2 linked regions of the Caenorhabditis elegans genome follow. The protein of the gene in region 1 interacts with the protein of each later gene in a pairwise test. Each region holds a gene or a part of one and is shown in the gene's direction. Other genes may lie near its edges.

Region 1 (4,618 bases):
ATTGTTGTTTTCCGTAAGTACAATTTTAGCATTTTTTTTAGGAACGACAAAAAATCGTCAGATCAATTTGTAATTTGAAATTTGAATCCAAATAATCTCTTGGTTTTAAAAATTTAGCATTTCAACAAATATCAACACAAAAACTAAGTTTAATTATTCAATGTTTATCAACTGAATTTTTATTAAATTGAAAAAAAAGTTGTTTTTAAAAGTTGTTTTTTAAAAATTTATTTCATCATGTTACCGTGAATTGAAAATTTGAACTTTTCAGTTATTTGAGAAGATTCCCTATTTTGAAAATGTTGGCAACATATTTTTGAGCGTAAAATGTTCACAATGAACTGTAATTTTTTGATTAATCAAAAATATATATCAGAATCAATTTTAAGGTTTGTGACCTCCAACATTTCCAAAAAACATAACTGATAGCATAACAAGTAAGTTCAAAAACTTTGCGTCTCTTGAGTATTATTGGGAGGTAGTTTGAAATTCCCCAACTATCTTTGAAACATTTGAGAATTTCACTTTTTAAAATTATGTAATTGATTCACTTGTTGGTATTTTTCCATGAAATTCCGACAGTTTGCCATTTCCAAATGCGCGGTCATTTGTCAACTGTGCTCCGCCTTGGCCTTCATTTCTACTCAATTTTCTCAGCAAAGTTTGTCCCGTCTAAACGGAACTACTAAACTTTTTTGCTTTTGCCGTTTTTATTTCGGAAATTTTTATTTGAATTTTCATCCAAATATTTTCTAAAAACGTATTTCGATATCGGTAACCCCAGCAAATCTCATTTTTCCGCATAACAGGACAAACACACTGTCCTTTTCGCTTCACTTTTTTGCTATCCCCTTCTTTTTTCCGTGTGCGTGCCGGGTGAAACTAGTCTCATCATTTGAAAATTGTCTGTATAATATCCGACCTACTACACATAAAATATATAGATGTTGGAGATGTTGACAGCCGGAAATTGTTTGGAACTAATTAGCTGCTGAGGGTTTTTTGCTGTAATTCAAGTGGACCCAGCACTTTTTGAGTATTTTGAATTTGTACTTACGCATAATTAAGCTTGTTCATTCTTATTTCTTTTAAATAAAAAAACTCCTGAAATCACAATAAAACAATATTGTCGCTTGTTATGGGATAAAACCCCATATTTCAGCTAATTTTATTAACACATACAAGTACATTAGGAACTAGATGATAATAAAAAAAAGTAGGAAATATTTTATCAGACGACAATTAAAAGTAAAATCAAAAGCATGAGCTGCCAAACTGAAACGAGCACAAAAAAAATGTCGAAATTGTACAAATACTCTCGAAAACCTTTTTTTTTAACTAAACGCTGAATTTCTATGTTTTCACTTTTTATAAACGTTTGAAAATTTTGTATATCTTCAATCACTCGGTCAACTGAAACTTTCCCTACTATTTCCAAATTACCGTCGAAATGCCACAGGGCAGCTAGCTGACCCCTGGCAACCACGAGATTCCCCCCCCCCCCCCCTTCATCTCTCTTGCCCGTGTTTCCTCTTCCGTTCTAATTACCTGCTTATTATCCGACAATACACCTGGCTCTCTAGGACCTTCTCTTTCTCTCTCGCGTCACTCCGGCAGCTAGCGTGTGCGGTACAGAAGAACAATCGTCAAGCGGCAAACTACCTTTTTTACCTCCAAACACAAAACAATTCGACTAGCTGCCGTCATTACTCCTATTTGGGATCTGCATTCAATGATCTACCACTCATGAAATATCAACATTTTCTCATATTTTGTACCCTGGTTACAAATGGTAAGTCTACTACTAAGATATGATGTCATTCGGTTTCACAGACTGATTGATCTGAGTGTGAAAAGTTTTGGTTTAGACTAGATGAGAGATAGAAATGTATAACACGAAGTTTAAGTGAACATCTCAAAAACTGAAAATCTAATTTAAATTCAAAATATGTTTGAGAAAGTTGATTTTGGGCTTTTAAGTGTTGAGCATTGTTGTATCTGAAAACTCTCAATTTTTGCAGCCCATCTCTTCTTTGATTTTGTAATCGTTTATATATTTTCAACTAAAATTGTAAACAAATAACTATTAACATATTTGTCGGTTAACAATTATTTCAGAAGCCCAGACCTTTTCAATAAAACACATGACTTCTTTCTCTGAAAATTAAATGAAGCTCGTATATTTCATACCAAAAAACAAAATAAATTTCTAAATTTTGTTTTCCAAAGATCAGTTCCAATCTAAAACTTGGACAAAACTACCAACTGACTTTTTGCAAAAAGTAATCCATCATTATCATTAAGACAGATGAATACCACAAGCTGTCACTAAAACTCTTTTCAGCACTATGTAACAGAGCGTGCAGTCGGAACACATGTCTTAACGGCGGAACTTGCACAGTGAACGATGAGACGCGAATGTTTCAGTGTGAATGTCCGAAGGGTTTCAGTGGGTTGCTATGTCAGGACAACTGCTCTTTGCACTGTCTCCACGGTAACTGCGTGAAAGGAACGTTTGGCGAAGAAACTTGCCAGTGCTCCGAAGGATGGATGGGCTCACTTTGTGATAATCTAGTTACTGATGATGACACTGCTCAAAAGTGCTCACCGCAATGTGGCGATGACGAAAGGTATACATGACCTTGTGCAAACCAAAAACATGTATGTTTTTTATAGATGCACAAAAGGAGCCGACGGATCATACATTTGCCAGAGCAACGAGCCGTCTTGCGCAACACACACTTGTCAGAATAACGGCACTTGTGTTGCCGAGAACGTGAGTGACTTGAGTCCAGAGTGATAAAAACCAATAGAATGTTCAGGGAAATGTAAAATGTGCCTGCCCACCTGGATTTGTTGGAGATCACTGTGAAACTGACGAGGACGAGTGCAAAGAAAATTTTTGTCAGAATGGAGCAGATTGTGAAAATTTGAAAGGAAGTTATGAATGCAAATGTTTAAAAGGATTTTCTGGTGAGTTTTGGTTTGAAAATTTGGATGGGAAGGATGAAATATAGTTTTCCAGTAGACATAATTGTGAAAAAAAAACCTGAAGTTTGAAAAACGTTTAGTTAGATTTTTTCAATAAGACTAGTGTGAATTTGATCAAAAATCATTTATAAGGTGCTAAATGACCAAATGTCATAAAAAATTTTCTAAACAATTCGGGGATTTTTTATCTCGAGTCAAAAATCGCATACATGTTTTTGCCACGTTTCGACAAATCTGAAGCATTGTCATGTTGATCCCTTTTGGCTCGAAATAAAATCATTTCTTCAGGTTGTTCAAAAAGTTTTATTATGATATTTGGACAAATACCCAGTTTTTTTGCAATACTTATAGTTTTCAACTTTCTTATTATTTTCTCAATTTTGTTAACGTTGCTGATTTGTTGAGAGTTTACATTCGAATAAATTATTTTATAAAAACAAAAGAAAACTAAGAAGAAACATGTTTTCACAATTTCTTCTAGGTAAATACTGTGAAATCCAAGACAAGAAACAATGCACTTCTGATTATTGTCACAACAATGGTCAATGCATTTCGACTGGCTCCGATCTCTCCTGCAAGTGCTCTCCCGGGTTTGATGGTGCATTCTGCGAGCTCAAAGCAGAGGTAACACCAATTTTCTCACTGTTAATTGCTTGTGTTTTTTCTCAGGTTAACGAGTGTATATGTGAAAACCCGGCTCATGTTTGTTCACTCGTAAACGGGACGTCAAGGACAACGCAATGCGAGTGTCCTTCGGGGTTTATGGTACGTTTGACGAATAATCTGGGCATGTTCGGATATGGGTCCCTCGCGCAATCTATCGTTTAATTGCAGGGTGCCGACTGTAAAGAGTTGCAAGCTCGTCCATGCGATCGTGAGCCGTGTCTTAATGGGGGTCACTGCGTCGACGACGGGCAGAATCTCTTCACCTGCTTTTGCCTTCCCTCTTTTACCGGCATCTATTGTGGAGAGCCTGTTGATTGTCTGGTTAATGGATCGGATTGTAAGAATGGGGGAAAGTGTGTGTTCGCGTTAGCCGCAACTACCTGCCAGTGTCCGGAAGGATTCAATGGGTCCAATTGTGAAATAAGTAATTCATATCGGTCACATCCAACATGCAGTGACATTCGATGTTTGAATGGTGGAAGCTGTAAACTCGACGCAGAAGGGGAACCGTTTTGTGTATGTGAAGAAGGGTTTGATGGACCGTTCTGTGAGCCAAAATCTGGATGCACAATTAATCCCTGTCAAAATGGAGGAACTTGCCAAGATGCAGGTAATAAGAAAAAGAATAGAGTTTTTTAGGGAGCTGTAAATTAATTTTTGTGCTGATACTGATACTCTTTAAAGTTTTACAATTTTTCAGATGGACAATACTTCTGTCATTGCACATCAGGCTTTGGTGGCGTCCACTGCGAAACGGTGGATGAGCCTTCAACCCCTATTCCCACATTAGGAACGTTTCCATCTTTTACAACTTCTGGAATCGACGGATTCTCTCAGAGTGTGAGTGTTTTAGTTTTTTATTCAAAATTCGTTCATAATAAATACTTGCAATATTAAAATTTTTCAGAAAATATCTTGCGAAGACTGCGTCAACTCATCCAATTGTCTTGACGTCGAATCT
Region 2 (7,793 bases), on another chromosome or scaffold:
CAATTTTCAGTATTTTTTCTGAAATATTTGGCAGCATCTGAAAGCATTTTTCAACATCCTGTAAATTTTGGCAAATGTGGGCAATTTTTTTTGCAACACCTGGGCCGGCAATTTCTTAATCACAGCGGTAGCGACGAGAGTTTGAAATTACAGTACTCTTTAGAGACGCAAACCTTTTCGCATTAAATAAAATGAAAGACTAATTTTCAATTGGTCCGTGGGGTGCAAGACTAATAGAGACTAATAGAGGAAATACAGCATATATTTTTATTAGATGGTGCAAAGTCCTATTTTCCCAGAAGATCACATCTTATTAAATTAAGATTCTCTGGTTCGCTGCCCCCTTCTCTTCCAAAGTTTCCTCAAAAATATATCCGAAGGGAAAATAAAAAATAATATGCGCAGACGATAATAAAAAAATATAGACAAAAACCCGATTCTCTAAGAGATCAAGCACGTCGATTACGTTATATTATTTTTCCCCTGTCAAATTTCATTGTTATGCAACATCTGCATGACGTCCATCTTCTGGACAAGACCGAGAGATGATATGGGCGGTCTGTACACGTTTTTTTTCTGTCTTTCAGATATCTCATCGTAATAAGCTTGCAGATATTTTTCTAGTATAGTTTTATCTAACATTTCTGACATTTTCAAAAATTTTCAAAATTGAAGCGAAAAAGTTGGTGGCCGAGTTGTTATTTATTCCCGGCCACATCGCAAAAAAAATCATAATTTACTCTGTTTTTGGAAAATTAGGTAAAAATTACTTTCAAAAACAGTAAACAATGGTTCAAAGTTGCATGTCCAGTTTTTCACTTCGTTCTTGTATACTCCCCCTGGTAAAATGTCTACTTCTATTTGTAAACTTGCTGATTTTTGAATCCTTAATAACTCAGTACCTGTAAGAGATACAAAAATATTGTCAACTATCAAAATAATCAAAATTGTCTCAAAAATATTTTGTCAGTTGACAATATTTTTCCAACTCCTATCCCAACGGAGTTATTCGTTCCATAAGAGATCACATTTTCCACAGACCACACCCCAATTATTTCCAATAAATCAGAAAATAATCAAAGTCCATTATCACTGCTTATCCCGTTAGCCATGTTTCATAGAAGGGCTAAATGATAATGGATTCTTCTTTTTTCAACATTCTCCTTCTCCTTCTTGCCTGTCGGTTTCCTTTTCCGATCCAGAGAAGAAGGGGAAACTTGTCGATTAGCCAGTTCACAAATCAAGAAATACCGGTGGATTCGGAAATTTCTCTTTCTCGAGATTTTTGACATGCTTTCGGTTTGACCCTTCTATGTGTCATTTAAGTTTTTTTTTGTTTATTTTCGTTGGAACATTTTGAAAACTAGTGTAAATCTGTTATTATAAGTTTATTCGTTTATTTAAGTACATTTTCGGTCAGTGGGGTCTAAATAAAAGTTACATTTTTGTGTCCCACTAACTTTTTAACTTTTTTTTGAGAAATTTTCAAAACGTTTCATTAAACGCGGTAGTTTTTGGTCATTTTGGGCATAAAAAGGCAAAGTCTTCAATTTAGGTACTAGAGTTTTTAATATCAGTCCGTCATTTTAGTTTTTGATTTGTTTCCTTTTTTATTTTTAGTTTGTTCCTAAATTCTGAAAGGCTATATCACTATTGTTCTGGATTCTACCAATTAAACTTTGATATAATTTCTTAAAAAATAGTTTGCTCCTAGAAATTGTAAAGTCAAAACCCTTCTTTCTATCCTGTCTGCAACTTTCAATTTTTCAATAAAAACTAAACACAGATATTCTAGATCAATTCCATATGCGAAGGCTTTTGATACATCTAGTTGTCCTTCTAGTACTATTACTAGAAGGACACAATGTTCTAGGGTTTGCAAGTGCGCCAGGGACCTATCCAGAAGAAGAAACACGAGCTGGTAATGATATGGAAGTGCCCAAAAATCCATATGAAAGCACATGGACCGGATATGATTTTTATTATGAAAAGGAGCCAAAGAAGGGTACGTTAGAAAAAATATGCAATTTTTGAAATTTATTTTCCAAATTATTATCAATTTTTCCCTGTAAATGTTGGCCGAGTTTATCTTGCACTTTATATTACGTTTCATTTCCAGATTATCATTTCTCGGCAGTCATGTAGCAAAATCAGAATAGCCTGTCAATAACTTCCTTCTAATTTTCAGTCCCACCCTCCGCAGGCAGCGGAAAAATGCCAGCGTTCCAGTCGATCGCGTCCATCTCAACAGACCGTGAATCTCCAGAAGACCCAGGAAATAGTGGTTATTTAGCGTCCGGAGCCGAATCTGGACCCAAGAAAACCACGTCGAAACCTGCAACAACACCCACTCCAGAACCTACCACTACTCCCGTAGAAGAAGAAAAAGTAAAAGTGTCGCCGAGCAGTAGTACTAAAGGTTGGTGGAAAGTTGAGTTTTGTGGCCACGTAGAAATATCTCACCTATGCACCAGAACACCTAAATAGTGGTTTCACACACACGTGTTTTATAAAACTTCACTCCAGATCCATCAAAGCTGCACAAAACCACCAAAACACCTGTCACTATCACAAATATAATATCAACCACCACTGCACCACCAGCGCCATCTAGAGCACCAGAAAATGATCCGGAATCCGGATCCGACCAATCGGAGAGCACTGATAATTTGGATTTACTTTACGGCGGGGGAAGTTCTGCCACAGCCACCGGGGAGGATAAGAAAGGTATTTGGAATAGGAAAATATAATTGAGTATCTAGAGAATATGTAAAACTAACGTTCTAAATATTTAACATCTGAAAACAATTTTCTAGTAGTGTCACATGTCACATTGTAGATTTTGTGTACTGCCTTTTTCAACTTTTGGAGTTCAAATAAAGATAGGTCTTCTGAATACATGTAGTGGCCATTGTCATCGACATATAAGCGCAAAATAGCGCACAAGTGGACATATAAGCGCAAAATTCAAAGTTAGCCAGATTATCAAACTGTCTTTAAAACCAGCACGGCACTCTACCACTAATAATCCCAACTTTTGCACAGACCCTCCCAAACTGCATGATCCACCTCCACCGCATCCATCTGCACCACAAAACCTTTTAACCCAATTGATTCAAAAGAAGAAGGATGCACCAAACAAAGGATCATCTGAGAAAAGTTCCAAATGGTCAGATGATCATGCTTCCGGGTATCCGGAGGGAAGTGCTCCTAGCGCTGAGCCATCTGAAAACCAGTATGAGCAAGATGGTTCTATTCCATCGTCGAATGACTACAAAGAGCTCACAGATGTACCAGGTACAAAGCCAAGCTCTTCAGCTTCACGTGGTTCAAATATGGCAGGTAACCCCACAGCACCGCTCACCACCACTCAGCACACTTTTGCACCAAACAGCACTGAAACATCAAGATCTTCTACTAGCAGAGGAAAGGCTCCTGGGACCGAACCTAAGTCTGAAGCTCGGTATAGCTCTCAGAATCCTTACTCAGACAACTCGAGCACCCAGAAGCCAGAATACGAATCTGGATACCCAGCGGTGTCTGGAGCAAACTCAAGAGCCCAAATTCCTAATATCACGGACTACACTAAACCATCAGCAGTGTCAATTGAATACGCATCAAGCTCGAAGGAAAGGTCTGATCCTCCATTTTCAACACCCTTAACATCTAATTCACAACATGTACTTACACAGCCAAGGCCAAGGGATTATGAAGATGGCCCGCAGGAGACAACTCGGACAAAAGCTAGTGGCACAAAATCACCTAACTCACTCCAAGCACCTCAACAAACTGCAGCACATCTCATGAAAAATGCCAGAGCACCTGGTCCGGAGCCAAGTCTTCACAGCACTACCACTCACCACGTACAAACACCAATTATCACCATAGCACCCAAGTTTTCAGAACCATCACCATATGCAGAAAATATTATGCTTACACCAAAGCAGGCACCTGGCACCGAACCTCGGTCTAACTCTCAGAACCCTCAAACAGATCGGTTAGCCTCCCAATCAGGATATGAATCCGGCGGGCCTGGACGTCCACAAAATGTTTCAATAAGACACCGAGAGAATCCAAAGGGATCTGATGCAATTTCAAGAACCGCTATTACTCCTTCTAAGATTGATTACTTTGCACCATCGTCACCAACAGGGCCAATTGGATATGAACGTCAAGTCCCGAGTTTCAAGGAAGGACCAGATCATCAATATACAAAATACTCCACGCTCAATTCACCACCTGCACCATCACCACAAGAGTCAAGCACAATCACTCACCATGTCTCCACATCACCCGACTTTTTAGAGCCATCATCAGAAAGTTCTGTGCTCTTACCGAAGCAAGCACCCGGCACCAATCCGAGCACGTCTAATAGTCCACCTGGATATTCTGAACTAATTGGCCCCTCTGGTCCCGGTAATGGTCTACCTGAAGCACCCAGTCACGCCGCACAAAACATTCCCAGAGCACACACGTTTTCAGAGTCACAAGGGTACGAACCGATGGGAAACAATGGGCCAAGTATCTTTGAGGGTCCTGGAACAGAATCTGGATATTCTGAGCCTAAAGCTCTTAGTACTGCGTCACAAAAGACTAAACCAGATGACAAGCCATACGAAATACCACGTAGCATTGAGCCCAGCAATTCGAAACCATATCCATCTGACAGTTCCTGGTCTGACCATGACAATGCTCCTGGCAGTGAGCCAAGCTACATCCCGGACGTTTTAGACTACGGAGCACGAGCCAATAATCACGCGGGCAAAATGATGAATATGTCACATGCCACGTCACCAAGCACCGGTTCACCATCTAACTCGAACAATGCGATTTCCGCACGAGACCCATATGATCACTTTGGCACTATCACTGCACCATCTGACATTCCACGTGCCAATTCAAATTTTGAAGAATACCCGGACGATGGAGGATATGACGGGACGAATGATGTGGCAATTGTGCCTTTGAGGTGATTTTTTGTGGGAAATCGAGTCCTCGATGCATCATGTTTAATCTTGCTCGAAACGCATATATCTCGGAAACTACGAGAGCTATCAAAAAGTTGTCAACTAACAAAATGTATAAAAAAGTTTGGCGAACAATTTGTCAGTTAATAACTTTTTATAGACTTAATAGTTTTGGAGAAAAATCAAGATACAATTAGGCACACACTTTTCAGAACACAGCACGGCACAAATCCTTCCACCATCACTACCACGAACACTCAAGTGAGAGCACAAATTTCAGAAATTGATCGGATTGCTGGTAAATAATATCGATATTCCAAAAATTTTTGGAAGAAAAATATGAATCTTACATTATTTCAGAATCTTTCGAGAACTCGGCGCGGGAACCTGTGGAGTATGAACAGCGAATTACTAGTGAATCATCGAAGGGAATTACAGCTGTAACCGGAAAAGATTTTATGGTTTTATTTTAAAATTTCAGCCGATTTTTTTGAAATATAATAAAAATTAAACATTACAGAAGAAGCTTGGAAGAAAGTCGCCAACATGTTGCTCATGTTGTGACGAGAAGCAGTCTGTGAGCAGAAATATTGAGACACAGGTTTAAAAAAAAGCAGCACTGTTTTAAACTTAATAATTTCTAGGCTGACCCATTGCATGTTCAACACGCAGTCGACCCATCACGGCAGTTAGGTACGTAAGTTTCCTCAAGACTCCCCCGTTGGTCACAAAAATAGGTTCGAATCCTGCCGTGGTCGAAACTTTTTTTTGCAGTCGAATCCGAGCCAGTGCAGAACTTTGTCCCTCTCCAGAACACCGTTGGAGGGAACGCCTATATTCAGCCACAACCAGTCGCTCAACAACAGTAAGTCTTTGTTTTAAATGGAAATATGTCACTTTTTTTCCAGAACCATCTACCAACAACCTTTCCAGCAATACCAACCACAGTACCCACAATCTTATCAGCAACCATCCTGCGGGTGCCAGCCACAGCCTCAAAACTGTTGTGCTCCACCTGCTCCTTGCTGTCTCCGTAAGTGACATAAATAATCCGTACAATTCATTCTTAGAACTATCTTTGTTCAGCAACAATTCCATGTTGTCCACCAATACCTTGCTGCCCGCAACCGAAGATTTGCTGTCAGCCAGCGCCAGTCTGTCTCCCTCCACCAACTTGTTGCTCGATTAACTTTAAACTTCCGACTATTCCAATCTGTGGTAGAGCCTGCCCATCGTGTCCATGTCGACGGAGAATGCACAAATCACGTCGTCTCAAGCGTCACTCAATTAACTCGAACTGTCATCAGTGCTCTTCTGCCGGTGAGCCATGGAGATCTGTGTTGCATCACCGAGAGAAACGTGCAGCTCCGGGATGCACTTCCGGTTTTTCGACGATGGTATGACGTTTCAGAGTGAATGGATAGAACTAAAACTCCACTTTTCAGAGTCAAAATTCGTGTGGCACATGTGGAGCGTCAAATCTCAGATCGCCACGTGTCAAGCGTATGGGATGTCTGCCGTGTCTGGGAAGAAAGAAGCGAGATACCGATGAGAATTCTCATATTAGAGTGAAGAGAATGGTGAGTACTGCGAGCTCACAAAAAATCAATTATCAATTTTCTTACAGGGATGTCTTCCATGCCTGGGTCGTAAGAAACGCAGTACCCTATCACAATCGGGATGTTCTCAATGTAATAGTATGGGTCATTTGTTCAATCGCTACAAGAGGAGTCTATTTGGAGGATGTTCGCCGTGTGCACCACAGGTATGAGATTCACGCCTCCCCCAACTTGACTCGAAAAATGCCTCCAATTAAATGCTAGGTGGAATTCAAATTTAGAAAGTACAATGTAAATAAGTAGCTAACAATAAGATTATAACTTTTGAATAACTTGAAAATCAGTTATGACAAAATGTATACGAAGTTCCGAGTTCCCATGTTACGCCTTGGCCAGGTGAAACTCAACATTGTAATACGAAAACCAACTCTCAAATCTTGACACTTTTCAGCAACCCTGCGGATGTGGCCGTAAGAAGCGATCGGTCACCATGAAGCTCGTCAAGAGAGCTCCGATGCAGTGTGACTCCACATGTTGCGACTTTTCAAGGTGAGCACATCTAAGTATTGACTGTAGTGTAACTAACATTTCCTATATTTCAGATGTCCATATCGCCAGAAGAAAGAAGCGCTGGTGCCGTTTATGTAGAGCTCACAGATGATAAGATCACATCGACGGGTTGTACATACCTCATAGAATCATCATATTGACTGCTTATTTCTCAGAGTGTTTTTGAAACATATTATTAATACAATAAATTGCAATAGTTCATTTTTGAAAATCTAACAAAAAAGTAGTAAGATTAGAAGGACAGAAAAGGAACCGGGTCACCCGAAATTGATGGGATTATGGGCCGGAATGATTGTGTGTGTGAAATTGGAATTATTCAAGGAAGACAACTAGAGATCGCAAGTGATTGTTTAAAAAAATATAAATAAGAAAAAATCTAAAAAGTTATGGACTATGGCTTTTCAAAAACCCATTAATTTTCATGTTCAGAAATTCGTTTGGACTACTCGACGATGCTATTTCAGACGCTAGAGATTGATGTTGTTGTTGATCATCGTAGAGTTGGAGCTGGCGTTGATAACTGGCAATTTCCAGACGGAGAGCCTGAAATTAATATCAATTGTGATCTGAAACAGGGGTGGGCTGCAAACGATTTTTCCGGCAAATCGGCAAATTTCCGGAATTGAAAACTTCTGGCAAATCGACAAGTTGCCGGAATTGAAAACTTTTGGCAAATCGACAAGTTGCCGGAATTGAA

What was found. Proteins that work in one complex are often made in the same cells at the same time.
Region 2: the proteins of crb-1 (region 1) and K08E7.5 interact in a two-hybrid assay, tested with the Caenorhabditis elegans proteins (one large-scale study listed by BioGRID).

Annotation. Positions count from the first base shown.
Region 1 is NC_003284.9:17,410,978-17,415,595, reverse strand, and holds the start of crb-1 (uncharacterized protein), read left to right. Parts: upstream 1-1,581; 5' UTR 1,582-1,746; coding exon 1,747-1,792; exon of another isoform or gene 1,793-1,904; intron 1,905-2,344; coding exon 2,345-2,630; intron 2,631-2,676; coding exon 2,677-2,776; intron 2,777-2,822; coding exon 2,823-2,973; intron 2,974-3,472; coding exon 3,473-3,615; intron 3,616-3,660; coding exon 3,661-3,756; intron 3,757-3,825; coding exon 3,826-4,267; intron 4,268-4,357; coding exon 4,358-4,497; intron 4,498-4,564; coding exon 4,565-4,618.
Region 2 is NC_003282.8:12,571,575-12,579,367, forward strand, and holds K08E7.5 (Prion-like-(Q/N-rich)-domain-bearing protein), read left to right. Parts: upstream 1-1,793; 5' UTR 1,794-1,806; coding exon 1,807-2,005; intron 2,006-2,188; coding exon 2,189-2,419; intron 2,420-2,526; coding exon 2,527-2,727; intron 2,728-3,045; coding exon 3,046-4,969; intron 4,970-5,179; coding exon 5,180-5,265; intron 5,266-5,327; coding exon 5,328-5,428; intron 5,429-5,487; coding exon 5,488-5,568; intron 5,569-5,611; coding exon 5,612-5,660; intron 5,661-5,741; coding exon 5,742-5,832; intron 5,833-5,875; coding exon 5,876-6,000; intron 6,001-6,053; coding exon 6,054-6,364; intron 6,365-6,412; coding exon 6,413-6,547; intron 6,548-6,594; coding exon 6,595-6,732; intron 6,733-6,977; coding exon 6,978-7,075; intron 7,076-7,128; coding exon 7,129-7,174; 3' UTR 7,175-7,296; downstream 7,297-7,793. Other genes in the region: K08E7.6 (Myb_DNA-bind_5 domain-containing protein), read right to left, coding at 7,481-7,639.